Linked DNA regions of Lytechinus pictus. The protein of the gene in region 3 purifies or fractionates together with the protein of the main gene of each other region. This does not show direct contact. Links are inferred from orthologs where the notes say so. Each region holds a gene or a part of one and is shown on either strand. Other genes may lie near its edges. The genes, in order: proteasome subunit alpha type-5-like, importin-9-like and akirin-2-like.

Evidence for each region.
Region 1: the proteins of akirin-2-like (region 3) and proteasome subunit alpha type-5-like purify together in Homo sapiens (affinity purification with mass spectrometry; 3 studies listed by BioGRID and IntAct, with this or other methods). This does not show direct contact. The link is inferred for Lytechinus pictus from reciprocal best matches to the Homo sapiens genes AKIRIN2 and PSMA5.
Region 2: the proteins of akirin-2-like (region 3) and importin-9-like purify together in Homo sapiens (affinity purification with mass spectrometry; 3 studies listed by BioGRID and IntAct, counting the BioPlex papers as one, with this or other methods). This does not show direct contact. The link is inferred for Lytechinus pictus from reciprocal best matches to the Homo sapiens genes AKIRIN2 and IPO9.

Annotation. Positions count from the first base shown.
Region 1 is NC_087247.1:8,334,355-8,344,246, reverse strand, and holds the start of proteasome subunit alpha type-5-like, read right to left. Parts: upstream 3,962-9,892; 5' UTR 3,593-3,961; intron 1,114-3,592; 5' UTR 1,082-1,113; coding exon 1,053-1,081; intron 518-1,052; coding exon 451-517; intron 53-450; coding exon 1-52. Other genes in the region: inactive selenide, water dikinase-like protein, read left to right, coding at 9,602-9,632. UniProt on the Homo sapiens protein: Component of the 20S core proteasome complex involved in the proteolytic degradation of most intracellular proteins. This complex plays numerous essential roles within the cell by associating with different regulatory particles.
Region 2 is NC_087247.1:53,572,245-53,582,259, forward strand, and holds the start of importin-9-like, read right to left. Parts: upstream 5,081-10,015; coding exon 4,945-5,080; intron 1-4,944. UniProt on the Homo sapiens protein: Nuclear transport receptor that mediates nuclear import of proteins, such as histones, proteasome and actin. Serves as receptor for nuclear localization signals (NLS) in cargo substrates.
Region 3 is NC_087248.1:10,423,991-10,434,733, reverse strand, and holds the start of akirin-2-like, read right to left. Parts: upstream 4,886-10,743; 5' UTR 4,610-4,885; coding exon 4,441-4,609; intron 2,533-4,440; coding exon 2,291-2,532; intron 1,827-2,290; coding exon 1,739-1,826; intron 637-1,738; coding exon 565-636; intron 1-564. UniProt on the Homo sapiens protein: Molecular adapter that acts as a bridge between a variety of multiprotein complexes, and which is involved in embryonic development, immunity, myogenesis and brain development.

The DNA.
Region 1 (9,892 bases), on a different chromosome or scaffold from region 3:
CAGCCAACACAATGCCCTCACTGGTCCTGATTCCAATAGCTGTAGATCCAAGCTGCAAACAACACAAAGTTGGAAACATACATAACAGTGTAAATTGCAGACGTAAATTCTTGAAATATCTGGCTAGAGATTTATTACATCTGATTCATTAACAATCAATCCATTGTTTATTTTTTAATTTTTATTTTGTTAATTGCAATATCTATTTTATCCTCTTTTTATATGTTCATTCTTAAAAAAAAAAATATTTCTCAATCCTCTTGTAATCTTTGTCTCTATGATCCATTTTTCTTTTTATTCAACAATTAATTTATACATTTCTATCTAACTATCTGAAACCTTGATCTTATTCATTCATCTCTATATTCATATTAATGACTTTTTTAATCACTTTGATTTAACTATGTTTCATTATAACAAGAATAACACGAATCAATGCTGTGTACAAACCTTAATAGCTTCTATTGCATATTCCACTTGAAAAAGACGTCCCTCAGGAGAGAACGTGTTGACTCCCCTGCCAAAATAAAAGTATGGAAAAGAGAAATTAGAGCAATGTAAAAGATGGTTAGAAACGGTATACACCGGGAGGGGAAAGGTTGGTTAGGTGTGAAAACTGACCCTGATTTATATATCCCGACAAGAAAAACATGGTCGATCCAATAACGATTATTCCCTATCATAGCTGTATAATGAACTCCTGTTCTACAACCATCCATAACATTTTCTGTAGACTTTGAAAGTTTCCATCCAAAGCAAACTCTAACACAGAAAATCTTTTGGATTTCTTTATGTGAAGTATGACCCATATATATGTACCTGTCCATTGGTTGTTATTCATTCTCTTGTGTATCAAAGGCAACTACATGCCAATTTTCTACAGGAAATAATGTCCTAGCTACTCAACACTATGGCATAGCAAATAGTTTTAGTCATGGCACCATATGACAGTTGTACAATGCAGACCTCTGAATCATATAAAAATGAACATAGGCCTATTGTTCGGAGTGTGATAAAAAAAATAAGTATTACCTGAATACTACTTTACGTACCTGTCATATTCTGATCTGGTCTGGAACATAGTGAAATGAGAATGTTGACAACACTAAATACCTGTTGGAGGAAACAAAAACCAATGGAGTAATGTGATGGACAGCAATACTTCTATTTTAAGAGTGGGCAAATCTTTCATCTATTTTATGTTAATATTTTTGGACCACAAGTAATTTTCATATATGCCCTTGTACTCTTTTTAATTTTCTGGCACTTGGCACCGGACTACCCCAAATTATTACGGTAATTTAGCATGGGCCATAGCAAATCATACGTTCAACTCCTGCCAACTCCCTCAATCAAGTGGGATCTATTCTCAAAACTTCAGACCGTGGAGTAGGGTTGCAAAGGGCTGGAAAGTTTTCATAGATTTTATAAACAAATTTCCAGGGAAAGTTTAATGAATTTCAGCTGCCAGGAATTTGGAAGACTTTTCGTTTTTTTCACACAAACTGCTAAATTTTGATTTTAAATACAACACCACCACTGATCCTCATGCTTTAAATTTAAATTGCTCAGGACACAACAGAGCCAAGATATTTATTGAAATGTAAATACATAATAATCAACACGTATATCTTTTCCAAATGTAACATAATAGACCACAAATATACAAAATGAATATCGATTCAACATGAAATGAAGGAAAACGCATATTATTCGCTTATGATCATTTTCTTAATCAAAATCTTAGTTTCTGAGTGTCAAGGGCTTTACCTTTATATATGTAACTAACAAAGTGTCTTCCATTTACCAATTCATAATAACCTGCAAATAGAACACCATATAAAGAGCCTAAGGCAGCCTTAAGATTAGAAGGACATTGTTGGAACACTCATGGCATGCCATGGCGCATCTCCTCCGACTTCGGCTCAATAAGGTTTATTGCTAATCAGAACCGCAATGCATTATGGGATTGAAAAGGGGGCAAGCAAGCTACATGTAGCTCCGCGCACTGCGGACTGTCTGCAGTGCGCAGAGCTAGCTTGCTTGCCCCCTTTTCGATCCCATAACGCATTGCGGTTCTGATTAGCGAAAAACCTTATAAATGACGATTAAGTTCTAAATAATGTAACTTGATCATGGCATGCCCCATTCACATTTTACATGCTCCATCAATCACTTAAATTCCGGCCCAATACATATTTGGTTTACGTACAATTATCGTAGACGTAGGGTGATCAGAGAGTGATCATATCCTGCTAATATTGGTCATTTCTTTTTAATAAAATATTTTGATAAATAAGTGATTTTTTTACCTGAAAAGATGCATCAAACAGAATTTTCTTCCTCTGTTTTCACTTGCAAATTATGCAACATTTTTTGTTTTAGGCACAAACATTATTTATATCATCAGAAAGCTCAAACTCTATACTCAGGGGTGTGAGTGGTCACAAATAAAAAGATCTGAAAAAAGCTGAAGAGTGTTGAAAAAGTCTGAAATAGAAAGAGCTCCCATACTTTTTGTACAGAGGAAGGTCAAAAATAAGCTGAAAGCTGAAAATCAAAACAAAAATATTTGAAATCAGATAAAAATCTGAACTCTCACACCCCTGTATACTTTCTTACAATGTCACTCTTGATATGTGGCATCTTTTAGATGGGTCAGCAGCCAGCTTTTTCCATCAAGATGCAAGACAAGATTTCTGAAATTTCTGAGTAACATAAAATCCAGAGTTCTGATTGGCTGAATAATGTTGTCAAAACAACAGGCGCGGGTAATTTGAAGAGATTACCACATGGTGAGTGTGACCTTGCAGAAGCCCAGTGTGGGGAACATTGGAATTTGCGTGGGTGTGTGGTCTCTATGACCAATCAGAGCGCAGTATTCTTGTTTTTGAGCTGTTAAATGTACTTGGCCTATGAAAAGCTGGCTGCTGACCCATCTAAAATACATCTTATAAAAATTATATCATACTAAAGCTTAGATCTTCAGCTTTATCATGATTTAAAAATCATTTGTGCTCAAACAGAAATTAAGTGTGAAAAAACAACAACTTTTGTCGCATGAAAAAATTTTGTTTCACGTTTTAGATCAAAAGTTTCCCCTATATTAGTATACAAAATCCTTTTAAAAATCCAAACACATGACCTGAAAGAATGATTCTTCTTCTTTACAAAGATACCAAAAATATGAAATTTGGTTAATATTATTTTTAGAGCAGCAATGCGGATTGGCAATGCCAATGGCCGAATAAAAAGAGGTGTTTTCGTCAGCATCAGGATAATTAACAATACAAAAACCCTCTAGTCATGAATATCACTTGGATAAAAGAAGCTACTTTTTCAGGGCTTGCCGACTGACTGTTGCGGTGGGGATGGCGTTGCATTGGACGATTGAATAATTTACACAATTTACATAGGCCCCTACGGAATATTTTCCAACATAATTATCTATGTGTGGGACCGTACTGAGACTAAGACACTGACCTAAAGACAAATTAAGCCAAAATTGAGGCATCATGATTGTTAATATCACCTTCAAAATTTCAATTAAAGGCTATTTTTTCAACCCAAAGCAATTTCATTCTAATCTTACCGTCGTTTAACTTGAAATGGGCAGGCTAAGAAGATCTCTTTTTTGCTGAGCAGTCTTCGGCGGAAGTATGTTATGTTGCCGTTGCATTGTGGGATATTTATTTTACATGTTTGCGATTCGGGGTAAAGATTGACGTCACGGGGTGTGGTCCCTCTTTTTGCACGGGAGCGCATTATGTGGAATTGCACATAGTATGTTCATGTGGAGTAACATTGAACATTGAAATTGAGTGCATCCTGCACATTATGTATTTTCAGTTGACAGTGATCATTCCTCATGGCATGATATACCTAATATCGGTTGAAAAATATGTTCAAACGAGAAGACCTTTATACGCCCTGAGTCATCATTGGTATAGAAATTGGCAATGTCTTCGTTACATCAAGGACAGACATAACAGCAATTTTTTGCATGGTAGCATAACCTATCTTCGTACATTGAAAATGATGTATATAGAGACTTCTATCGTTTAATAGTCAGTGCTGGTCATGACACACGAGAAAATATGGTCTGCAGGATGGTACTTTTCGAATTCCCTGCAAAGCAAGGTGATATCACGACGACAGCCTGACTGATGGGAGGGGGGCTGATCGAGTGGGCTTCCGTCCCCCAAAAGGGAAGCCTATGGATCGGTAATGATGTACGCCACGGGCGTAAATCCGGGAGGGGGATATTCCCCCCACTTTTCGGAGGGTGGTGGCGTGTACAATCATCCCCTCCCCACTTTCAAGACCAAAAAAAAAATTCATCATGTTATGTTATGTTATGTTATATCGAGGTTTTTTACCTGACTGCTAAGAAAGCACGAATGCCTGTGAGCAAGCAACCAGGGGACCGACAGCTTAAGGTCCTCTCCGAGGGACCTGTTAATGAGGATAAATGCCTTACCAAAGGGCACTAGCGCACCACTTGGGAATCGAACCCGGGTCACCGGAATCCGAAACCCCCGCTCTATACCGACTGAGCCATCATCATCATCAAATAGTTAATACTACTATTAACTTAATGTGTGGATTCTCTAATGTGAATCAAAGTGCTCAAATTGGCCTAATTTTTGCATTCGAAAAACGCAAAATTTCTCGTGCGGTCGCTCCGCTCCCGCGCTCATTCTGACAAGAGTCTGGTCGTGACAACATAATAGGCCCTAGCTATATAATTTATTGCAAAAGTTATAAGTCTTCATGTCAAAATATTCAAAGTTGTCAGCTCGTGCTTCTGTACCGAGAGTGGTTTAAATTCTGGATCCCCCCTCTCTCTTAAAAAAAAAATAGCTCGCGCTTCGCGCTCGCATTATGTTTATTCATTGAGATACACAGCTTGTTCAATTATACATACGGAATCTGAATTTGTTCTTTCTATAAAAAGTGTGAAAATGTTAAGTTTTCATGTCAAAATATTGAAAAAAAATGTCAGCTCGTGCTTCGGTACCGAGAGTGGTTTGAGATTTAAATCTCAAAAGAAAGAAAGAAAGAAAGAAATTTAAAAAAAAAGCTAGCGCTTCGCTCGCATCATATGCTTCTGATACATTTTTGAAACATTTTTAGAGAAAATCAGAAAAACATTTTTCTGAAATATTTTGTTGAAATATTTTAAAAACATAGTTTCATAACATTTCAAGAACGTTTGATGTTATTGTTAGAATATTCTAACAGAATGATAAGTTCACGTCCAATTTATAATATTCAAAAGATGTTAGTAAAATGTTATTTTGTTTCTCAAAAAATGTTAATATAAAGATGTTTTTTAATAATCTTATTAATTTTTTTTGGAAAACATTTGAAAAACATTTTTCAAAAATATTTTGTTAAAACATTGTAGAATCGTAGTTTCAATTCATTTCAAGAACTTTTATCATTACTGTCATAATATTCTAACAACGTTTTTAAAATGCTATTTTTACATCCAAGATATAACATTTTAAAGATGTCAGTAAAATGTTACAGTGTTTGTCTTAAAATGTTATAATGATATCACAAAAACGTCAAAATTAATATACTTCTGATACATTTTAAAAAACATCAGAAAAACATTTATATTCTGAAAACATATTTTCATGACTTTTTATAACATTAGATTTTATTCTTAAGAACGTTCTTAAGATGTTAATTTTACATTCATTATGAAACATTATAAAAACGTTAGAAAAAATATCATTTTGTTTTCTTAAGAATGTTTATTTCATGTCATTTTAACATCAAGATTAGACATTTTAATAAGATATTTTAATAACATTTAAAAAAATGTCTTTTAAATGTTTCTTGTCAGGCCATCAAAACATTATATGCTTTATATCATAATAACGTTTATTTAATGTTTAACATAAGGGGAATAATGTTTCATTAATGTTATGCAAATGTTTTTAAGAAATGTTTTTCGAAAGCATTTCTAAGATCTTTCAATAATGTTATTATAACGTTATGTGTTAGCTGGGATATTAAATAGTGAGATCACATATCCTCTCCACAATTTTCCTTCATGTTGGACAGTGCTTAAAAGATTTTCTTTCGGGTTATAATAAATCAAACATTTCAGCTCGCGCTTCGCGCTCGCATTATGTTTATTGAGATACGCGCTCAATGATATAAAAATTTGACTTTACATGAAAACGTGTAAAAATGTTTAGTCAAAATATCAAATATTTCAAGATCACGCTTCGCGCTCGCATCATTCATTGATACCCTTTCTTCTCATGATTAGAAAAACTGCATGGAATCAATTCCTTAGTTCTATGTCCACCCTCTTCATGGTCACATTGCTTCGAATACTGTTTTTAGTTCTAAAATCTGAAAAAAAAATCAGCTCGCGCTTTTCGCGTGTTAACTGTGTTCTTTATGAAAAACGTGCTTAACCAGTTTAGTTTTCTGGTCGAATATAATAATTATGAAAAAGAAATTCAGCTCGCTCTATTTGATTCGTGAAAACGTTTTCTATTCATGAATCACTGCAAACAGTAGGGCCTACACGTCCCCCCCCCTTTTTTTTTTACAATAGTTATTAAAAGTTTCAGCTCGCGCTCGCATGAATTTATTAATGAGTTATGTACGCATATTATTCATTCAAAAAGTGCTTAGAATGTCCAGTTTCCTGGTCGAAATATCAAAATTTTCTGTTCGCGCTTCGCCCTCGCATTTTTGGATTGGAGAGATATGTATTCTATTCATTGATCACTACGAACAGTCAACAGGTCATTTTACAGGCCAGTATATCAAAAATTCGGATCGTTTAGTAAAATTCAAATCTGGTTCATGAAAAGCTGCTCAAAATTTTTATAATTTGTATTTAAAAAAATTGAGCTCGCGCTTTGCGCTCGCATGGTAATTTACATTCAGGCCACATAAAATGCCTTATCTTGCTTCTATACATAAGAATGAAAATATTGTAAAGACTTTTAATCCCTCGAAGAAAAAAATCAGATTTTGGCGGCCGCGACGGGGAAAATGTGAATAAAAATAGTTTTCCGCCCCTCCTATATAAATTGATGAAAGCTGGATCTCCCCCTGGGTATGACGAAAAAAAATGTGACTGAGGAGAATGGTGAACTCAGTCCGATGGCTGATGGTCGTCGGCCGCCGTAAATGGTACCAATATTTGTAGGCAATCAGTGCCCCCCCCCCCCCCTAGGAAAGGCCTAGCGACGCCCATGCGTATATCATGCACTGGCGAAAATCCGGTCCGAGCAGGGGGGGGGGGGTGATAGCTGTATAATGACCTGAATATTCAAAATGTTGGGGACACCCCCAGTGGCATAACAGGCGGGGGCAGGGGGGCAAGCTGCCCCTGGCGGATTTCACCGGGAAAATAAAAAAAACGGGGGAAAAGAGAAAAGGGAGGGAGAAAGAAAGGGAAAGGGGGAGGAAAGGGGAAAGGGAAAGGAGGAAAAGAAAGGGAAAGGGAAAAGTGAAAATAAAACGAATTAAGAAAGAAAAAAATTAAATGAAAAAGGAAGGAATTAAGCGGGAAAAGGAACGAAAGAAGAACGTTTGAGAAAGAACAAATCATTCCGAAATAGGCCTATATATGTAATGCAATAGCATGACGATGGGAAATAAATCAAAAGATGACAAAGTGGCAAACAATAGCGGGAAACGAAGGTAGAATGGAATTAGTCAAAAGCTAAATTGGAAAACAAGGAAATTGGGCAAGAAAAAAACATAATAACACGACCGGGCTGCCGAGGATTGAAAGTAAAGAGCGGGAAGAAAGATGGACAGTACAACATTGTGCTATAAGCGTAGGGACCCTTTCTCAAGATTCACCGACCTTGTCTGAGATCAACTAATCATACAGTACACTATACCTGACTTTCTTTCTTTTGGAGATTCTATCTATGCTTTTCTTTTCAATACAAAATTACTTATTCGTTCCTGGTTACCTATTATTTTTTAAGTCCAATTTCCATCACGTTTCTCATAATCAGTTTTTGCGAAAAGTTATCTCCATCACTCTTACTACCACTAATATATCAAACAAACACGACTTCGCTAGTTTGGCCTACTGTGCACCTTTTTCACTGCAGGCCAGGGCGGCCTGCCTTTTTTTAATTGGATAGTGACTTATTTCGGTTCCTATCAGATCGGGGTCCTAATAAGTTGTTTATTATTTCTCTTCATTGCATTGGGCAATGTCGCCTCCCTCGTTAAAGGGGAAGTTCACCGGCCACGAAGAAAAGTTTTTACAGCAGAAAAACTAATAACAAATAGGGCCTATCCGGGGGCCTATCGTTTTGGTGAACTTCAGGTTTTAGGAAAATCCGTTAAAAATTAAGAAAGTTCTGCAGTTTTTGTGACGTCATAAACGAGCAGCTGTCCCATATATTATGTAATATAAAATGATTGAATTTCATTATTTTGATGGTTCCTGAAGACTGATTTTTGTTTTCTTTTCATGATCGGGTGTGAAATGATTGGTCTATTGAGTATACAAAAGGTACGTATAGAAACCATTTTCATTTTTTTATGAGAAATGACATTTCATTGATTTTGTTACCATTCGCTATGTAAAAATGATGCTCGCATATGACGTCACAAATCAAATAAGTAAAATTTGATAACTTTTTGATTGATGGATTTTTCTCAAACCTACGTACGCCAATTCCTTTTTCTGCTATTTTTACAATAAAGTTTTTGTCAGGGTGAACTCATATAACGTGCATTTCATTATAATTAACAGGAGTCCAATCAACAAATTTTCGTTCTTTATGGAACATTTGGAAATCGTAATTTCCATAAAAAGGCATGATTTCTGCATGGATTTGATAAAGTCCTCAATTTTCGCGCCACATGCTATCTCACAATCAACCAATCCCATGCGATGAACATCGGTACCGCCTAAAGAAGTGTATAAAGATGATTGACTGCCTAACTTCTCAATAATTATTAGCCTGAAACGCTCATCCACACACCTATCGGCAAATGTTTTCAGCACGAAAAGGTGAATTCTTATGGAATTATGATTCGAAATTGTATAAATTACTGTTTACCTTGAGATTTCTTTGATATTTGTCTTGAAATTTATCAATATTACAAAGAAGGGATAACAATTTAAAACTTTACTTGGGCGAGCCTGAAAATCTAGTGCATTCTGGGTACGCATTTACCACGCGGCCATCCCGTGGTAGAATCTTCTTGCCAGGGACTTGAAAATTGTGGACGACTGCTGTGCTGGCAAAGATTTGTGAGAGAAATCTATCATAAAACAAGATATTTCAAGATGGCAGGATTGCCACCAGACGTGGGGCAGCAACAGCATATCCCCGAGCATCACCAGGCCATCGTTGTGCAACAACAGCCGCAATTTGAAGTGACAGAGCCCGTTGTTGTCCAACAACAACAGCAGGTTGTTCGTCGCTTCGACCCAGAAGCTCACGAATTGCACAAAGATTTTCGTTTGACGCGCTACACTGAGTTGAAAGGATGAGGGGCCAAGGTCCCTCGGGAGGCTCTGCTCAACCTCCTGAAGGGACTCAATCCGAATGAAGGGGAACAGGAACAAGGAGATAAAGCACAATACATGCAAGTGCAGTTCGGTATCCCCAATTTCGGTGAGTAGCAAAAAAAATGAAATAAAATTAAAAAAGACGGGACAACTGTCACAAATGACAAATCAAAATGTGACTCAAACTTAATAAGACCATTCATAATACTAATAAATAATAGGTCCATGATAAGACTAGTTAAAGAAAGTCAAGTCTCAAGAAAGTCGACACCGTTCTCCGTAGTTTAACTTCACATGATTGACCCTTTTGTGGGTGTGGGGCTGGTTGTAAGGTTGGGAATACAATAAAATTTTTTTTTTGAAGTT
Region 2 (10,015 bases), on a different chromosome or scaffold from region 3:
GTTGTATATAAGTTGGCGGATGCCTCATGAAATGAAATAAAAGAGAAAATAAGGAAATGGAAAAAGTAAGAAGAAGGATAAGAAGAAAAAAAGAAAGCCAAACAAACAAGACAAAATAATATCAAAATTTCGTAATAAAGTCAGTAAGTTTAATAATTAAGTTTTCAATGAAATGAGACATAAAAGAATTGAAACAAGTGAAAAGGGCTACATCATAGTTAAAAGAAATAGAGGGAAGCTCCGAGACAATAAAAAGTGTAAAAAAAATCAGAAAAGACTTTGAAACACTCTGAACACGAGTATAATACAAAAACAAGTGGAATGCCTCTGGCCGTCTCACCTGCATCACGCGATTCAATATAGCAGCAGTGCTGATTTTGAAAACTACTATAACTCGCACAAGATGTTCAGTGATACTTGGTTACTCTTATTTCCACGTTTTATGAACTAGACCAATACACTTATAGAGATATGATGGCAATTCAACAAATACCCCCAACGTGGCCAAAGTTCTTTGACCTTACATGACCTTTGACCTTGATCATGTGACCTGAAACTCGCACAGGATGTTCAGTGATACTTGATTACTATTATGTCCAAGTTTTATGAACTAGACCAACACACTTTCAAATTTATGGCTGTAATTCAACAAATACCCCAATTTGGCCAAAGTTCATTGACCCTAAATGACCTTTGACCTTGATCATGTGACCTGAAACTTGCACAGGATGTTCAGTAATACTTGATTACTATTATGTCCAAGTTTCATGAATCAGATCCATAAACTTTCAAAGTTATGATGGTAATTCAACAGATACCCCCAATTCGGCCAAAGTTCATTGACCCTAAATGACCTTTGACCTTGGTCATGTGACGTGAAACTCATGCAGGACAGTCAGTCCGCAAGCCCTGAAAAAGTAGCTTCTTTTATCCAAGTGATATTCATGACTAGAGGGTTTTTGCATAGTTAATGAGCTTGGTGCGAACCAAAACACCTCTTTTTATTCGGCCATTGCTGCTCTAAATATTGACCAAATTTCATGTTTTTGGTATCTTTGTAAAGAAGAAGAATCATTCTTTCAGGTCATGTGTTTGGAATTTTAAAAGAATGTTGTAATATAGGAAAAACTTTTGATCTAAAACATGAAACAAAATATTTTTTTCATGCAACAAAGGTTGTTGTTTTCACACTTAATTTTTGTTTGGGCACAAATGATATTTAAATCATGATAAAGCTGAAGATCTAAGCTTTAATATGATATAATTTTTATAAGAAGATGTATTTTAGATGGGTCAGCAGCCAGCTTTTCATAGGCCAAGTACATTTTGCAGCTAAAAAACAAGAATACTGCGCTCTGATTGGTCATAGAGACCACGCACCCACGCAAATTCCAATGTTCCCCACACTGGGCCTCTGCAAGGTCACACTCACCATGTGGTAATCTCTTCAAATTACCCGCGCCTGTTTGTTTTGAAAACAGTATTCAGCCAATCAGAACTCTGGATTTTATGTTACTCAGAAATTTCAGAAATCTCGTCTTGCATCTTGATGGACAAAGCTGGCTGCTGACCCATCTAAAAGATGCCACATATCAAGAGTGACATTGTAAGAAAGTATAGAGTTTGAGCTTTCTGATGATATAAATAATGTTGGTGCCTAAAACGCAAAATGTTGCACAATTTGCAAATGAAAACAGAGGAAGAAAATTCTGTTTGATGCATCTTTTCAGGTTAAAAATTCACTTATTTATCAAAATATTTCATTCAAAAGAAATGACCAATATAAAAGAGTAACATTTACTCTTGCCCATGGTACAAAAATAATCAATATTACTCAAGGAAAAAGTGGTTAAATTCTTTGAGAAAGAAAGTCTCACAATTCACGAGATTTTGCAGGGACATGCATTCAGCCACGAGAGGACTTGGATAAATCTTGCTCATTTGCTCATTAACACAGGGGCTTGCGGACTGACTATGGATGTTCAGTGATACTTGATTAACCTTATGTATAAGTTTCATGAACTAGGTCCATATATTTTCTAAGTTATGATGACATTTCAAAAACTTAACCTTAGGTTAAGATTTTGATGTTGATTCCCCCAACATGGTCTAAGTTCATTGACCCTAAATGACCTTTGACCTTGGTCATGTGACATGAAACTCAGGCAGGATGTTCAGTAATACTTGATTAACCTTATGGCCAAGTTTCATGAACTAGGTCCATATACTTTCTAAGTTATGCTGTCATTTCAAAAACTTAACCTCAGGTTAAGATTTGGTGTTGACGCCGCCGCCGCCGTCGCCGTCGGAAAAGCGGCGCCTATAGTCTCACTCTGCTATGCAGGTGAGACAAAAATTGGGAATAAGCGAGGACAAGTAGCTGAGGGACCCCCCCCCCTCTATCTCTAGTTATTTACTATAACTCGCATATACAAGAGAAGAAATTCTTACTAATCAAAATATTGCGAGCAAAAAGCATGAGCTGACATTTTTTTTAATATTCAAAACTGATAGAGAGACACATTTTGAACAATTCATGAAACATAATAATCTTTCATTATAGCTACCAATCGGATTGCGACAAGATCTGAGAATTAGAAATTCATTAAAAGCATAAAATTGTATAACATTAAAATAAGACGGGCGCAACGCATGAGCTAAAGCTTTATATACCAACTAAAAATTTGGACATATTTAGCGCTTTCGGTAGTCATGAAAAAGATTCATATTTCATGAAAGCTCAAATCCCGAGGAGGAATATTTTTTATAAATTGACTTAAAAAAGGCTGTTCTAATTAAGCCCCATTTAATATTTCATTACAAGTCTCGTTAAACAGTAAAAGAGGAAAAAATAGAGCATATTGTGTTCCTCAATTCTCTTTCTCTTTAACCCTATTTTTTTTTTTTTTTTTTTTTTTGGGGGGGGGGGGAGGTATTTTGGTTAAAAAAAAGGAGAAAAAACGATATTTGCTGGCTAGTGGGTGTATAGTGGTAGGGACACCCCGCCCCACCCCCCCCCCCCCCCCCCCGTAGTTACGCAAACATGGGACCAAATGATCCTACTTGTTCCAAGGCGAAACTTGTGCAATCAATTAAATGTTATTTTTGAGAAAATTAAAGCTTGCGCTGTTTAAATTCAATCTCTTTCACCTACATTTGCGATGAATGCTAGCATTATGAAATATATAATTATCAACGTCTGGCGAAACGAATAACCAACCGATCAGCTGACGAGAACGCGTATCACGTGATCTGCATATCAGCTTCGATCACGAGTCAGAAGTGAAGAGCAACTGGCAATAAAATCTGGAAAAAGTCGTCAAAATGTAAGTTCCCCTTCATTTCTTTCAATTTTTTTTTATTGCTAACAATGCTTTAACTTTCTTAAACAAAAATTTAATGAATAGACAGTACGATAGCTCGTACTTGTGTTATAATACACAAATAATCATCTTCACAAAGATTTCTGACACAAAATACTACAGATGTCGCCTATGAGGTCCATACATGTAATGTTTGGACCTCATTGGTACTAGGACTTTAGTACTAGGCACTCTAGGCGACACCCCAATACTTACCCGTGCTAATAAACTGGGACTCCACTCACGCGCATTTGGGCCGCCCTAGCTTAGAACTAAGCAATATTATCTAGAAATTGTTAAACTCTAGTCATGAAATATGTTCTATTAAATAAATTGATAATGTTTAATCGGTACTCACCGGTTCTTTTGTTGCATTTTCAGACCATTTCTCACAATTCTTCGTAAATATTTGCGGCAAATTTTGTCGCCATAGACAGCTATACATCCATCTTTATTAATAAATGGAGCGCCCTTTACGATAGTTGTTAATGCCGCGGAGAAATCGTTAGGCATTTTGGCATGTGTTCAAGGCGTTCTTTCTGTTTTATTTTTTATATTGAAGATTGTGCATTTGTTGAATAGCGCCGTCTACGTCAGGTATGAGATCGAGTGTATAAATACACTCTTCCAAAATAATTATGATTCCGACCTGGCGCTGTTTAACTTCAATCTCTTTCACCTAAATTAGCGATGAATGCTAGCATTATAAAATATATATTATTAACGTCTGACGAAAAGAATAACCAACCGATCAGCTGACGAGAACGCGAATCACGTGATCTTCATATCAGCTTCGATTGCGAGTCAGAAGTGAAGAGCAACTGCCCAGAAAATCAGGAAAAAGCCGTGAAAATGTAAGTTCCCCTTCATTTCTTTCATTTTTTTGTTGTTGCTAACGATGCATTTACACTATAAAATTATAATTTAAATAAGAGAAAGGAATATAGCTTGTACTTGTGATATAATATATAGGCCTAAATATCCTGTTCTCAGAGATTTCTAACCAAAAATACTACTGATGTCGCCTATGAGGTCCATACATGTAATGTTTGGACCTCATGATTGGTACTAGGAGTGGTACTAGGCAGGGGCCGCGGAACGGTTTTCAAAGTGGGGGGGCTGACCATGCTAAAAATCACAATCATATGGTCAATTTTACGTTTTTGTACACGGTTTTGGAAAAAAGTGGGGGGGCTGAAGCCCCCCCCCCCCCCGGTTCCGCGGCCCCTACTAACGTTAGGAGTGAGTTTGGGGAAGTTACAAATACAAATTCAATTGATGCAGAGCCGCATCTGGCAGAGCCAGAGGTTCGAGCCCAGCCCCTGGTCACGTCTTTCGGATGGTGACGTTAAAGTTCGGTCCCAGACGTAAATAATCATATCTGATTGATACACGTCTGACAAAACTCAAATCCACACACACAGTGTGCCATATGACAAGTTTTAAAACAATTCCCAGTTCACACTCACACGTTCACACCGCACGGACATGAAACTGAGCATTTGGGACTACACAAACACAATCACAAGTAAGAACGTTGAACATAAATGATAACCAAACGTGTCGATAAGAGACTACTAACCCTCTGTTACTTCTAGGAGCTTAAGCTGTTCCTCTCCTTGCTGTCTAACATCTTGTTGAGGAGAAAGGATTGCTGTAAGGCTCTCAATTAAAGCATTCCTGACAGTATTGCTCGCTTCAACTTCACTGACAGCCATGATGACTTCTTTCACTTTTCCTCACGATCACGATCACAAGTGCGCGCCGTGTGTGTCAATTTTTTATTTGCGCGCGCTAGCGCTACGAGTTTTATCCAGTGCTAGTAGTACATGCAGTGACAAATAGAGATCAGAGATAAAGTCAGAATAGAAGAGGACTCAGAAGCAGAGTCAAAAGAAGAGTAAGAGTAAGAAGAAGAAATGAAGAAGAAGAAGAAAAAGAGTAAGTAAGAAGAAGAAGAAGAGGAAGAAGACGAAGAAGAAAAGGAAAAAGAAGAAGAAGGGAGGAAGAAGAAGAAGAACTAAGAAGAAGAAGAAGGGTCAGAAAAAGATCAGAGTCAGTGAATGGGAAGAACAAACGGAACAACTTAAAGGACGAGTCCACCCCGGAGTCCAACCCAACAAAAAAGTTGATTTCAGTAAAAAGAGAAAAATCCAACAAGCATAACTGAAAATTTCATCAAAATCGGATGTAAAATAAGAAAGTTATGACATTTTAAAGTTTCACTTAATTTCACAAACCAGTAGGTCTATAATAGATCTATGCACATCCTTGTCGGTATGCAATATGAGGAGTGGTGGTATGTCATCCACTCACTGTTTCTTTTGTATCTTATTATATGAAATATGGAATTCTAATTTTCTCCTCATTGTCAAGTGAAACAGGGGTTATTTTTCTCTGAACATGTAGAATTATAATGGTACAGTCAAGTTGGTACCTATTGTTAAATCTGTAATAAAAGTGAAATATTATATAATTCAAACAATAAAAAAACAAAATAAATAGTGAATGAGGGAACATCATCGACTCTCATTATTTTGCATCACTGTTTTGTGAAAAAGTGAAACTTTAAAGTGTCATAACTTTCCTATTTTAAATCCGATTTTGATGAAATTTTCAGCATTAGGCTAGTTTGATTTTTCTCTCATTTATTCGAATCAACATTTTTGTAGGGTGGACTTTTTTTTTTTTAAAGAAGAAGAATGAGGGGGAGGAGAAAATAGAGAAATAGAGATCCGCAAGATCTCGGGAGTCGAAGAAGTATAGAGAGTCAGAAGAAGAGTAAGAAAGTCAGCTGAGTCGAGAACAACAACATCAACAACAACAATGAAGAATGAGGAGGAGAACTTTAAGAGATGGGGAAGTGGGCCGATGAATTTGCAGCACTATACAGTGCGTCCCATAAAAAACGAAACCGAGATTTATCGATGATTTATCATAACTTAATCACAAATACAATAGACAAATGACCTACCATTGTAAAGCTTAGAATCTCTTCTTTCATCTGAAATTATACTTAGATTATTTCTCATTCAAGCATGAGTGAGCAAAAACAATTTGAAGAGGGGATACCAAAATGTCATTTGGCGGGCTGTATCTGAGTTTCAAAAAGAAAACCACATTTCTAAAAAATTCAATATCTGTTCTTTAATTTGATACCTCAATTACAGAAAATGGTCAAGAAATAAGAAAGTTCTGGTTATTTGAAATAAGGCTTGAATTTCAATAATTTCATAAAATGAAGAGGTTTTACAGGCTAGCGTTCAAACTCACTCGACACTCCGTTTTGTTGACGCTCAGCCATGCTTGAAGTCTTTTGTTAACCATGCGATAGCTTCTGTGGGAAACCGGTGAAAACACGTTTATTTAATGAAATTATGGAAATACAAGCATTGTTTCGAGGGAACGTAACTTTTTTACTTCTTGACCATTTTTTGTGATTAAGGTATCAAATAAAAGAGCAGATATTGAACTTTTTAGGCATGTGATTTTCTTTTTAAAATTCAGATACCCCCCGCCAAATGAGTTTTTGGTATCCTCTCTTCAAATTATTTTTGCTCACTCATGCGTGAATGAGGAATAATCTAAGTAATATCAGATGAAAGAGGAGATTCTAAGCTTTACATTGGTAGGTCATTTGTCTACTGTATTTGTGATTAAGTTATGATAAATCATCGCTAAATTTCGGTTTCGTTTTTTCTGGGACGCACTGTATACTTTTTGCTAGCCATTGGACGTACAGACCGGGGGAGGAGATGGGCGGCTTTCTTTTCTTCTGCGTCATGCTGTTGCACATATTTTTAGATTAAGACCTAAAAATGTGACATTCTATAAACTTTTTTGTAAACATGAAAATGATGGGTATATGGGGCCTATCTACTTTAGTAAATGATAAGAGTGCAAAGGGCGAGCTCTGAATGTCTTCTATTCCAATCTGGCATATAGTTTTCAAATAAAGAACGAGCTGTGCATGATTTTAAACAATCCATGAGCGGCGCAATGTGTGAGCTGAAATTTCTTATACTGATATTTTTGTTTTTTAGTAATATTTATTAATCATTCAGTTCAAAGTCAAAGTGATTGTACATTACAATATAGCCTATACTGATCCGATATATGGAACCACTTATTCTTTAACATAGGAAAATTGTGAAGAAGATAGATGATTCAAGCACAAGCTTATTATGATATTACCGTTTTGCAGTGCTTATTGTGATGTCTCTCCTCTGACTGTAAAATGGAGAAGAAAAAAAAAATGTGTCAGGAGTGGGATTCGAACCCACGCCTCCATTCGGAGACCAGAACACCCATTTGTCTCATGTGCGAGAGAAAGAATTATTCTTGAGTCTGGCGCCTTAGACCGCTCGGCCACCCTGACAACACGGCCTTCTTTGGGAGTCATATAAATATATATATTTTTTACCGTAATTTCATTTTCTTTTACTGAGTCTGAGATCGGACGAAACTTCTTTAGATTTTAATGATTTAGTTCCATTATTTGTCTGCTCGTCAATACTTATATCATATATTTAAGATTCGAAATCAATTAGTCATTAACATTGAAAAAAAAAATGGAATAGTTGATTTTTTTAATGGGTAAAAAATATACATTCCAGTGAACAACACAATCTCGATAAATCCTGGCTTGTTAAGCCTGAGGCTAAGGACACTTCCGTACGGTACTAGTTTCTTTTTGATATTATAGAATTAAATTTAAAATATATGAAATGGTAAAATTTCAATGTAAAATTCGTAGTATAATATCCAGGAAAAATACATAATGATAATTATCCCTTATGGAATAATGTAGTTGGCAAATTTAACGTAAACACACCATTACCGAAGAGCGCACGTGTGTGCTCCATGCAATTCGCAAGTTGCAACGAAGGGTCCTAGACTGCACTGCACTAGCACTGTGACTGTGAAGTGAGAGCCCACTTTATAGCGGAGCGGAGGCAAGTAATTTTGACAAGACTCAAGAGGATTGAACTTTTATTCTGTTATTTCGAGGTATTGTGGAAAATTCGACAAGAGTTCTAACGTTATGAAAGTTGATAGGATTTCTAAGTTCGTATCATCAACACCATTGACATTTTTCTTGTTCTATTACTTTAGTATAGGCCTAGTATATTACTATAAAATAGTGTCACTCATGGCTCATGCCATGGTAGTCATGCTAGTAGCCCCATACACTCAATATGGTGTAGGCCCCCCCTAACTGTAAGTTAAGTGACTTTTAATGTTACACTTACTCTATATTTATCCTACCTCAAAGCACTAGCTGATAGCTCACTGCAACCATCCTGCCTGTGGGGAATCTACAGGTAGGACTCACTCACATGTATTGCGAGGTTAGTTAGTATACTAACACTAACAGTACTCAGTAGGGTGTCTGGAGAAAAAAATTATTTTTCTTATTTCAAGAAAATATCACATTTTCTTTGTCAAGTTTGTGAATTTGAAGAGAAATGACCTTCAGACTGACAGAAATGTAAAATTTTTGAAAAAAGTCCAATTATTGGCTGCAAAAAAGAAGAATGAAATTAGGTCAATTTTCAGCATTTCTCTGCCATAGACTGTGTAGGCTCTAGTTAAGAAATGGACATACACAAATCCAAATTTTTAGCTTCCGAGAGCTGTTAATAAATTTATTATTAATGCCAAAAACTTGTCCATAAAGAGTCCAATAGGATTTTTTATGCTCTATCTGATGGTATGATTTTTATAAAGATTTGGAAACCAGATCACAATGAAAAATTGCGACAAAGTGAAAAAAATTGTGCAAAACAGAAATTTCATTTTCCCATAGAAAACGCATGGAGAAATGGCAATCTCAACACACACAAAAATAAGGGTTTGCAATTTATCTCTAAATCCTTATTTAAAATGATCATATAAACTTGTCCTTACTGTCAAAAGAAGCCCCTGAATTTTCTCTTTCCATACATGCCAAACATAAGTTAATAATCAATTCAGATCACATTTTTCTAGTAGCCTGAACTTCCCCGAAAAAATGTGCCATATTTTCCCCTAAATCAGCCTGTTTTATGCTGACACTTTTCAGTGTGGCTTCAGACACCCTACTAACAGTAGAGGCGCACGGCCAATATTGGAGACTGTCTCCAATGTGGGAGATTATCTCCAATATCAGAGACTTTTGTAAAGAATTTGGGTATCCAATTTCAGAGACAGTCTCCAGTTTTGGTGACCAATTTCCTTTGTTTACATTTGCTGCAAAAGGATTACCTTGGCGGCAAATAAAAATGTGATAAGCAGATTCCTCATGAAAAATTACCCCTTTTCACCGTCTACTTTAAAAATTCACCGTCTACTTTTGTTTTGATAAGGATTTTTGTTGTCAATCACACACAAAACAAATGGGCTTCTGACCTCGGGCTCAGTGAAACAAAATTTTGGGTGGAAAAAATCATGCTTTTGTTGGTGTTGTTTCTTTTGTCCTTTTGCAAAGCAAGTCTCCAATGTGGGAGATTGTCTCCCCTATTGGAGAGAGTTTCCCATATTGGCCGTGCGCCTCTACTGACTAACCTCGCACCACGAACCGCGTTTGGCAGTGCCAGTGGATTTCTAACTAGTGGGTCGCGCGTGCTGGGATCTCACTTCTTGGGTCCACAACACACGACTTCTATGGCTTG
Region 3 (10,743 bases):
AATACAAATGTTTTAATTAATTCAAGAATTCGAAAGAGTGAACATTATTCTTCATCAAAATATATACAGCTCAAATGATTTGTACTCATCTTCACTGTAAAAGCTAATTTTACGGGGATGTTTCATCGTGTTCGCCGCCTGTTCACGAGCTTGAGATTGCCAACACCAACACCAACACCGAACTTGAAATCATGATTTTCCCAATCCCTGGGGGTTGGTGTTGGTGAATGGGGATATTGCACGTAGATCGTCAACACCAGCCGCAGTGCTGGGTTCAGCAGACGACATTCAACACCAGCATTCAACACGAACTGCCGGAAATACGTCATATTTTCCGAGGTCAATCCCAACACCAGCCTGATTTCAAGTACGGTGTTTTGGCTGGTGTTGGTGTTGTCACAACACCAACACCAGATTTCAACACCGTACTTGAAATCACCCATTGATTACAAATCAGTATCAATGGAATCAATCATGAACATCAGCGGGACATCAATTGTCAAGCTTTGTATAACTGAGCCCAAGCATTAATAGAGAAGTTTTTGCAATGACTATGATACTCACAGCTCATGCTTGTAGAGGTAAAGCGACGCTGAATCTGATCTTGGTTGAACTTTACGAATGCATCATATTGCTCTGAAATAACAAAGGATAAAAAAAGCAAATGAATAATAACGATCAATGCAGTAGGAACTAAGAAAGGTTCTCAGAATGTTTAGTCTATAAATTTACCTTCATGCTTGCAGCATAACTTCATTTTGCATACTATAGAGTATGGCAAAAATGGCATGAAAAACCCTTTGGACTCAATGATACATTTCCTTGTTACAGTTAATTCTGCACAAGTGGATGTTCCATTTAACTCTTTGCATGCTGAATTCTGAGGGATAATAATGACAAAATTTATGTGTATGGTGTCTTCTTTGAATTATTGTATAAATATTATCCAAGAACTAAAGCCATTTTATTAGCTTTTATATGGGAGAAAACTAATTAAAATTGTGGAATTTAATGTAATGAATGGGCAAATTGCAACATTAGTATGCCAAGGGTTAACAAAAATATTCACTTGAGGTCCAAACAATTTCCAGACCATTTTATGCGATATATCAGGTATTTCTTTACTTGATACTACGGACTACGGTCAGAAGATATTTGAACTGGACAGCTTCACCTACATTAAGAATGTATCTTCACTTTATTCCCATCAATGATACATGGTTTTAGCTTTAGTGTAACCAGTGGCAAGGAGGTTAAAGAGGAAACTTCATCAAAATGACCTTGAAATTTCTTCAATTGAACATCCTATCCTAGGGAAAGGATTCACAGGATACATTCAGCTGGGGTGCAGCAGAGAATATGTCACACTTTATATTGTGTACAAAGTCATTGGGAAATGTGGGGAGTCACTGGTGAAAACAACAAAAATGTTAAAGAGGCAAAATTGCGATTTATATTTTGCCATCTGGCAGACAATGACTCCAGACTGAACAATTTCAAAGGTCAAGTCTGGACACCAAAATGTCAAATTAATTAGATTTAAAATGATTTTAACAAGCATGCCGCTCATAATTATTACTTATGGCAATGACCTATTCTAGATTCATATATCTTGATTACCCATAACTGAATCAGTCAATTACGAGTTTGATTTTAATCTAACATAATTCCTGTAAGAACCCTGGCATCTTGCTTGATGAAAAGTATCAGTACTTGTTGATGAAAAAGGGATACCTACCAGCTAACTTGCACGTTAGGGCTTTATCATACTCCTCACGTATCCTAGATTCTTGCTCCTTCAACATCCGTTCACATATTAGGATAACCTGTAGAACAAATTAGAATTAAAGATACATGTAGCTGTCAACATCAGCAACACTGAAATAACTTTTTACAGCCATTACTTGATATTTCACATGACTGCTATAGCTTCACTATAAAATGGGGGATATGAAGACGAAAGTCTTGCTAAAGATCAAAAGTAAGGCAGTGGCATTCCTATTTGATCCCAAGCCTGACAAAAAACCCCAACACCATGAGCCACAAACATGCAAGAACCAAAATAACTACTCCCTTTAAAAAAAATGAAATAATTTTTTTGATAAATGAACTTGGTACCAGTGATCTTGCACTATTGACATGGACTTATTCATCTAAAATAAAATGCACTTGATCCGTTGAGCCATGCATGAGTATAAAGCACATTCAGGGAAAACTTGTTTCGGCATGTTGAAAAAGAAGGGGGTACTTTTGGGGTTGTTTATTCAAAACCATCCATCTCCATTCCTACCTGTTTTAAAGTGAACATGGGTTGATCTTTGGTTTGTGTTTGTTGTAGAGAGCCTGAAGGCAAGTTGGGCATAGGATTGGTGGATGTGGATGGTGGTGAGAAGCATCCCGATGTTAGACCAAACCTTGATGCTTGCTCCATCATCTCTGATGATACAGGTGACTCGGTGCTGTACGAATCTTCCAACCGTTTCCTTCGCTTTATCCTTCGCCATTCTTGACTAATGTGAGCTGCAAGCTGGCCTGTTCATCAATAAGAACAAGTAAGGTAATCCATGAACATCAGTTTAAAAAACTTAATAACATTACAAACCATTTCAAGACGCCATGCGTCTTGAACTCACCCAACAAAAGGATGATGGTGTTACAATTTTCATTTCCAATTTCAGAGACAGCCTCTAGTTTGGGAGACCAATTTCCTTTGTCTACATGTACATTTGCTGCAAAAGAATTACCTTGGCGGCTATTTGAAATGTGATAAGCAGATTCCCTAAGATAAATAACCCTTTTCACTGTCAACTGTTGTTTGATTTTTGTCATCATTCACACATAAACCAAATGGGCTTCTGACCTCAGTGAGACAAAATTTTGGGAAGAAAAAATTATGTTCTTGTTGGTGTACATTGTTTCTTTTGTCCTTGTGCAAAGAATATTGGCCGGGCGCTTCTACTGTATGTCATACATTGACTGTTTGACAGGTGAGTGGCACAGCTCAGTAATTTAAAAATTGATGGCAAACTTATGGGTCTGCACATTTAAGTCTAATTCGACTGGGATTAAAAAAAAAAATTCTCACTTTGTCGTGACATGTCATGATTAAAGGTAAATGCTAGTTTTGGTAACGATATCAAAATGAGTTCGTACAGAATCCAATGAAATGACCACCAAAGTGTCTGTTTGTATGAATAAAACGCATGTGCCAAAGGATTCTGGAAGAAATTGTGTAATTGCTGAGAAATCAGCAAATAAGCACAGGATTCGGGTAGAGCGTCGGGCCCGACGCTCAAAGCAATAATTATACACTGTCCCACGTGCGCTTATCTGTGTAGGGGAAGTTCAGTCTGAACATTATTCAGCGTAGATTTCAAGATTTCACAAAGTTCAGTTTATGTAACTGTACCAGATCTAGATCCTCGATGATATACTGACAATTAAGCCTGGTTTTACAGACTTCCTCATGAAATCAGTGTTTACTGCAACTACTGGAATTTCTCTTTAACGTTAGACTAGGGTCTAGTCTAAGAAAACTTAGTCAATCTCTTTTCAAGAAATCTAGAATTGACCACAAAAGTGGTAGGTATGTGCTGCAGGCGAGACAAAAAACAGGGGCTTAGGAACAGGCTTATTGTGAAGAGGGTCCTTGGAACAGGCTTCGGAACTACAGTACAAATGTTTGTGAAAAATGGGGGTCCTTGGAACGGTTTGCCTGCATGTGAGTGTGCATCTCTATTGAACGGGCATACATGTACATGCATGCAGCTAGCCCGGTGGCACGGGCGCTGCGCTCACGCAGCTCAGAGATGGTCAGAAATCGCTCTGCGGCCGCTTTTCACCAAAATTGCAGCTCATTGTAGCGGATACTGGTACATGCAACCAGAACGGCGTAACGAAAAATATGCGAAGCTTTGCCTTTGGAATGGATTTCTTTCTTTTTTCTCGATAAGAAAATGAGCTAGGCCTATGCTTTAGTTTAGTTTGGAGCGGCTTTCTTTGTTCTTTTTCTCAACAAGATAAAAATGCTATGCCTTGGAGCGGAAATTTGAGTGTAAAAATGGGGGTCCCCTCCACGGCACATACCCACCACGCATTATATAATGAGTGCTCCCCCCTCCCGGAGTCAGCCAGTGCGAAACTGCATCACTCGGCTTCGGGCATCAGCGCCCAACTTTGTCATGTTTGTAGATTTTGCACAGCATTTGTGCCAGCATGATGGGCGCTAATGTAGTTTCACACCCAGGCATGGACATTGATGAAGTGAACCACTTTTTACTTCAAAAATGTCAACAAACCAATAATCGTCACAGAATGTCTGTGCAGTCTGCAGACGCAGACAACGCAGGCCGGAATTTCCATTCATTGTGACGAATGTCGTTTTGTTGACATAAAAAAAATGGGACTGGGTGACTCACGTTCAACTTCAAATAATCTCACCTGGTGATATTCTAGGTGTTACTGGAGAAAATGGTGATTGTTGAAGACTATTTCTAGAAGTTGGTGTTGACGGAGTGATTATGGGTGAACATCTTCTTCTTTTTGGGGAGGTTCCAGGGCTATGAAGTGGATCAAAGTCGAGAGTCCGTTTTAGTGTCGCACAAGCCATTTTAGATTTACAAGAAGAACTGAGAAACACCCCTCCTTTTAGGCCCAAAATATGGGCACATGCAACGCTCAAATTCAAACAAACTGAAAGGGTAATGTGGAGAAACCTCCACTTGATTAAAACTGATCAGGTAATTGTCCTTATTTTACCAAATTAAACTGATGGTTCGCGATTTAAATCGACGTTTCCTCGTCCCCTGCGATGTTTAAAAGTTGCTTTGTAGGCCGTATACCGGGCCGGGCTTACCGGCCGTACGTACGTACGACGTACGTACGTGTACGTGTCCGTACGTACGGGTCCATAACATACATGTACACACTGCGTGATTACGTACACATTGGTACGTACGTACATCGAGCTTGACTGTACGGTACCGTAACTAGAATCCCCCCGTAACTAAATTACCGTAAATAAATTATTCTTGCCCTATATGTTTATACGGCGTACGATATAAATAAAAAAAAAAAAAAGAATTTTGGGAAAGAGATGACCCGAGGGCCCCAAAGATATGTGTCCTAATGTACTCATACATATCGGGGCATAGGCCTATGATGGGGGGGGGGGGGGGGGCCCGGGGGGGGGGGCACTCAGTATATAATGCATAGTGGGTATGTGCCGCGGAGGGGACCCCCATTTTTACACTCAAATTTCCGTTCCAAGGCATAGCATTTTTGTCTTATTGAGAAAAAGAACAAAGAAAGCCGCTCCAAGGCATAGCATTTCCCCGGCATTTCCTTTTTATCGAGAAAAAAGAAGAAAGAAATCCGCTCCAAAGCTTTGCATATTTTTCGTTACGCCGTTCCAGTCGCATTGATCTGCTACAATTTTGGTGAAAAGCGGCCGTAGAGCGCTTTTCGACCATCGCCTAAGTGCGAGCGCACCCGGCGGAGGCCGCGCTAGCTGCGTTATGCACGATTGCCCATTCCATAGGGATGCATACGCACTCACAGAGATACGGAGATCCGTTCTGAGGACCCCCGTTTTCACAAACATTTGTAGTTCCGAAGCCCGTTCCGAGGACCCTCCTTTTTAAAATAAGCCCGCTCCAAGGCCCCCGTTTTTTGCCTCGCCCGCGGCACACCCCTACCACTTTTTTGGTCGAGTGCCCCCCCGGGGGGGGGGGGGGGGTGGGGGGGCAGCTGTTGGGCCGGGACACGTCCCCACAAATTTTGGATTAAAAAATATTTCTGCACGCTTCAATATTTCTTCACTTTGTTAAGTGAGATATTTATAGATCTAGCTGTTCATCGACGGATCGATCGAGGCCTAAATAATTTTTCACCAGGATATGCATGGGCTAAAATATCAAAATTTTCGCCCGCGCTTCGCGCTCGCATTATTAGGGAAATACAAATATTTATTATAACCTCCCTCCTTTTTCACGTTAATGTGTCAAAGATATTGCAGATGGATCAAGCCATCGTTGCGTTAGTGGCAGCGCAAAAAAAATTAATGATCATATGATAACATATAGGGCCCGGATATAGGGTCGCCATGTTTTTCAGATCTATAGACGTGTGGGCATTCTAAATACATTCCTTTTAGTATGAAAATCAATCATGCGAGCCGGCAGAAGCGTGAGTTGAGAAAAAAATTATATTCCGATCTCAAGAAGGGTCAATTTTGCACTATTTCAAGCATAGGAAAATTGTGAAGTCGATCATGGATAGCACTGCATGAGCGCGAAGCGCGAGTTTTTTTAAGATAATTATTTTGACCTATAAGGACCGGGACATTTGAGGGGCATTTTGTCATCATATGAAAATGATGACTATATCTTCCTATATTCTTATTTCCTAAGCTCGAGATGAAACTTGTCGATATATTTTGAAAAAAATTAAGGGATGACATAAACTGTCATGTAAAGGGAATAGTAGTTTGTTAGAATTAAAGGGGAAATTCACCCTGACAAAAGGTTGATTGTAAAAATGGCAAAAAACATGATAAAAACTGTTGGCGAAGGTTTGAGGGAAATCCATCAAAGAATAAAAAAGTTATTACAATCTTAATTATTTGATTTGTATACGTCATGCGAGCGGCTTTCCTACCAACATGCTTGGTAAAAAAAAATCAATCTATCATTTTCTCAGAAAACTGAAAAATGGTTTTCATTGCACCTTCAGTATATCTGCTCCTAAAAGAAAATAAAAATTAGTCATCACGAACCGTAAAAAAAAAGAAATTTATGCATTTTATAATACATCACATATGGGGCAGCTGCATGCTCGTTTATGACGTCACAAATCAAAACTTGAAATTGTAATAACTTTCTTAATATTTTATGGGTTTCCTCACACCTTCACCAATATATTTTTCTGCTATTTTTACAACAAAGTTTTCATCAGCTGAACTTCCCCTAGCGATACGTTTCGACAGTCAGACCTGTAAAGGGATATATCGTGAGACCTTTATGGAAAACAAAAAGAGAATATGTACTTGACATAATTATCAAATGATACGAGTTCGCAGCGCGAACTCAAAATGTTGATATTCAATTAAACCAAAAACAGATTTAAAACAGACATTTCTACAGAGCACTTGTTTTAAAATTAATGGTAAATCAAACAAAATAATGAAAGCTCGATGTCCGAGCTGAAATATTGTTTGTATATTTACTTAAAAACTTGATATTTTAAGCTTCAGATCAGCGGCATATTGAGCAATAAATATTATTGTATCTCATTGAACAGGCAATGCGAGCGTAAAGAGCAGGCGAAAATTTATGTAGTGCACATGCATGAAACGTTTTTTTTCTAAGTTTCAAGTCTTTACCTTATTTTATTCACTGATCGTCTTCCTCTTCCTAGTTTATTCTCTCCTCTTTTATTTTCTTCTCCCCTCTTTATCCTTTATTCTTGCTTTTTCTTTTCCCCCCTTCCTTCCCCTTATTTTTCTTGTTTCTTTATTTGCTCGACAATATGGGGAGGGCGGCCCTGCCCCTGGACCCGCCTGTGATTTTGGATCCAATTATGGACCAAACGGGTGTATAGCCACTCATTGGGGGCACAATTAGAGGGGGAATGAAAAAAAAAACACACACACAAAAGGAAGGAGATGAGAGGAAGAAAAAGAGAAAAGGAGGAGGGGGATACAAGAAAGAGGAAGATGAACAGGAAAGGGATCTGGACAACAGAAACACTTTCAGGTCAGCATAAAAAAGAAGAAAACTCCGCTCGAGTTTTAATTCACACTCGCAATGCCTATTTATTATATTCGTCAAGATAAATATTGTGTTCAAGCTAGGGCATTGAAATGGCGCATAAGATTTCATGTTTTTAAGTAAATATATACAGAAGTATTTCTACAAAAAATTGTGCTCCGAGATTAAATCATTTTGTTTAGTAAGATACAAATTATTTTGATGATTTCCTAGAAACAGTCACTAAAACGTTTCTTTTATTTTTACCTGTAAATTATCAGGAATAAATAACAAATATTCAGCTAATCGGGCTTCACCCTCCCATTAGGCCTGTATATTTTTTCAGTTATAAGAGCGCTAAGCATAATCGCGGGGTTTTTATTGAGGACTATTGTCGAAGTTTAGCAGTATGCTTATTCCCGCTCCCACTTTCTTACTTTTTAATTTGATTTTTCCTTCCTGTTGTTTTATCTTTACCTTCCTTTCTCTCCCTTTTTCTCGTTTTTATCTTTTTTTTTTACGGCCAACAGGGGTCGCAGCCACTCCGGCCCATATGATATCAATGTTGCATTGAGCCCTGATGTGTTATTAAATGCCTCGATCTGATGATAAATTTCTCTTGATTACTCAAAGGGGTAGGAGAAGCGTAGGGACGAGGCGGGAAGGGGGACTCCTTAAATCCCCTCGCTCTTATATATTTTTAATATCATGAAGAGGGTCAGCGGCAATCCTCTTTCTTTATGTTTTATCTTCTCTCATCCTTTTATTGGCCTTTACCTTCAGAACCACTAGGGGGGGGGGCAGACTGCCCCCCTGACGGGTCACAACTGGTCCAGGGGACGTGCCCCCCCCCTTTTTGAGAAGCAAAATAATAATAATTTGTAATGTAAAAATGCAATGAAAGAAACAAGACGTGTGCCCCCTCTTTTTTTTGTACGAAATCTCCTTTATTTACGTTTGAAGACCCTTTTTTGGCAAATCCTGGGTACGCCGCTGTTCAGAACCCTAACCCTTCTCTCTTTCCTTTGTCTAAGCGCGGAGGGGGGGGGGGGGGGGGTCGAGGGAGAAAGCTAGGGCCAGTCGCCCCTGGACTTCTTCTTTTATCTCCTTGTCATCTTACTCCTTTGTGGGAAAATAGCAGAACCATTTCAACGTCACTTTCCTCCATTTTCTTTTCTTTCTCCGTTTCCCTTCTTTTGTTTCTCTTACACTTCATTAATTTCCCCTTTTTCTATTCCTTTTCTCTTCCCCTTTCCCCCATTTTGCTTCTTTCGCTTTCCCTTCCTTTCTATATTCTATCCCTTTTTCTTTTCTCTTTCCTCTCTCTCTTTTCCCCTTCATTTTCTTTTCCCTCTTCCTTTCCCTCACTTTCTTTCTCTCCTTTTCCCTTTCCCTCTCCCTTTCCCTTCAAACTTTCAACATTTTCTTTTCACAATAAAACCCTCATAAAACATAAAATTTAGAGTTTGTTGGAAGGTTTTATAAAAGACAAATAACATTTCATTTCAAAGAAAAGAGGTAAACTCCCAATAATACACATACAAAAAGTGGAGATTTGTTATTTTTATATTTACATTGTACATGTACATATATCTCTTTACTGCTTTATAAATTACTTCTGCTTCATAATATGTAACTATGTGGTATCTTTATAGATGCTTTTCTGCCTAATAATGTTTTATCTTATTCTTTACATATTACAATGCAATAATCCTAAGATATGAAGGGGCAATGTTACTCGCATCCGCTTGGAAACTTTATTTTCCTTTCATGGAAAATGAAAGCAAATTATTGAATAATTTTTCAAAATTAGAGTAAAAACTAAAATCATTTATTTGACAATAATCAAATAACCATCTTATACAAAATTCATTCAATAATGATAAAAAAATCTATAAAAAATATAAATTCTAATGAAAATTGATTGATCTAAAACGACTTTTGACCTTACGTAAAAATTATACTAATCTAATTTCTGATACATATTACCTTAGTATTCAAGTTTAATAAAACACAGACTGATAATTTCAACATTACAATGAAATTCACATATTAAACTGGTTATTGATTTCTTAAAACCCTATCTAAGCTGAGGTACTTTGGGAGATCACATGGCGCGCATCAGAATTGGACATTTTTTATACACACGCCCGATACACGCTAAATTAAGCGTAATTTATACAGGAAATCTGCATAAACCATGGACTCAACCGTGGGTTTTCAAAACCACCTTTGTGAATTCGGGCCAGTGTAGTATTCTGATTTTAAAACTAGTTTTAATCCTATTCTAACCTATAATTTTAATCCACACTTCTATAGAATGCTGGGCTTCATGATATTTGTTTGATATTTATGGCAATTATAATGTACCAATGGATTCATTAAAGTTCATCACATTTTTCTATTCAACCCATTTCACAACTGAATTATTATTTTTTGTACAACTTTTTTTGCAACAGGATAGTACATTTTAATTGATGAATGTATTGACTAATGGCACTCCATAAAAGTATGGTCTCAGTTAACCCAGGTTAAACTCAACCATGGCTATCAGAGTACCATTATCATGTCAAAATAACATTCCAAAACTTTCATTTTGACAATTTTACACCTGCACGACCCAGTAACAGGTGACAGTTGAATCAAGTTGTATGATTAATAGATACTTTCTAATTGCTGGTTCCATGACATTTTCTCTGGTGACAATTGCTCAGCTCTAAATTCCACACGATAATCAAATGACTTCAACCATGGGTTTAACACTATACCGTACCCTTAACCTAACATAAAACCCTACTGCAACCCTAACCTTACATCGTAGACGAAATTAAGCCCGGAGCAATTGTCGCAGGAGCATTTGTTGTGTCATCTTAATTGCTTTCTTTTCCACGCCTCATTCTATATTCATTTCATACCTCACTATCTCTGGTCTGGCAATACCAGAATCAAGCTATTATAGGAATGCACTTGATTCTGTTTGATGGGACAGTCTCAA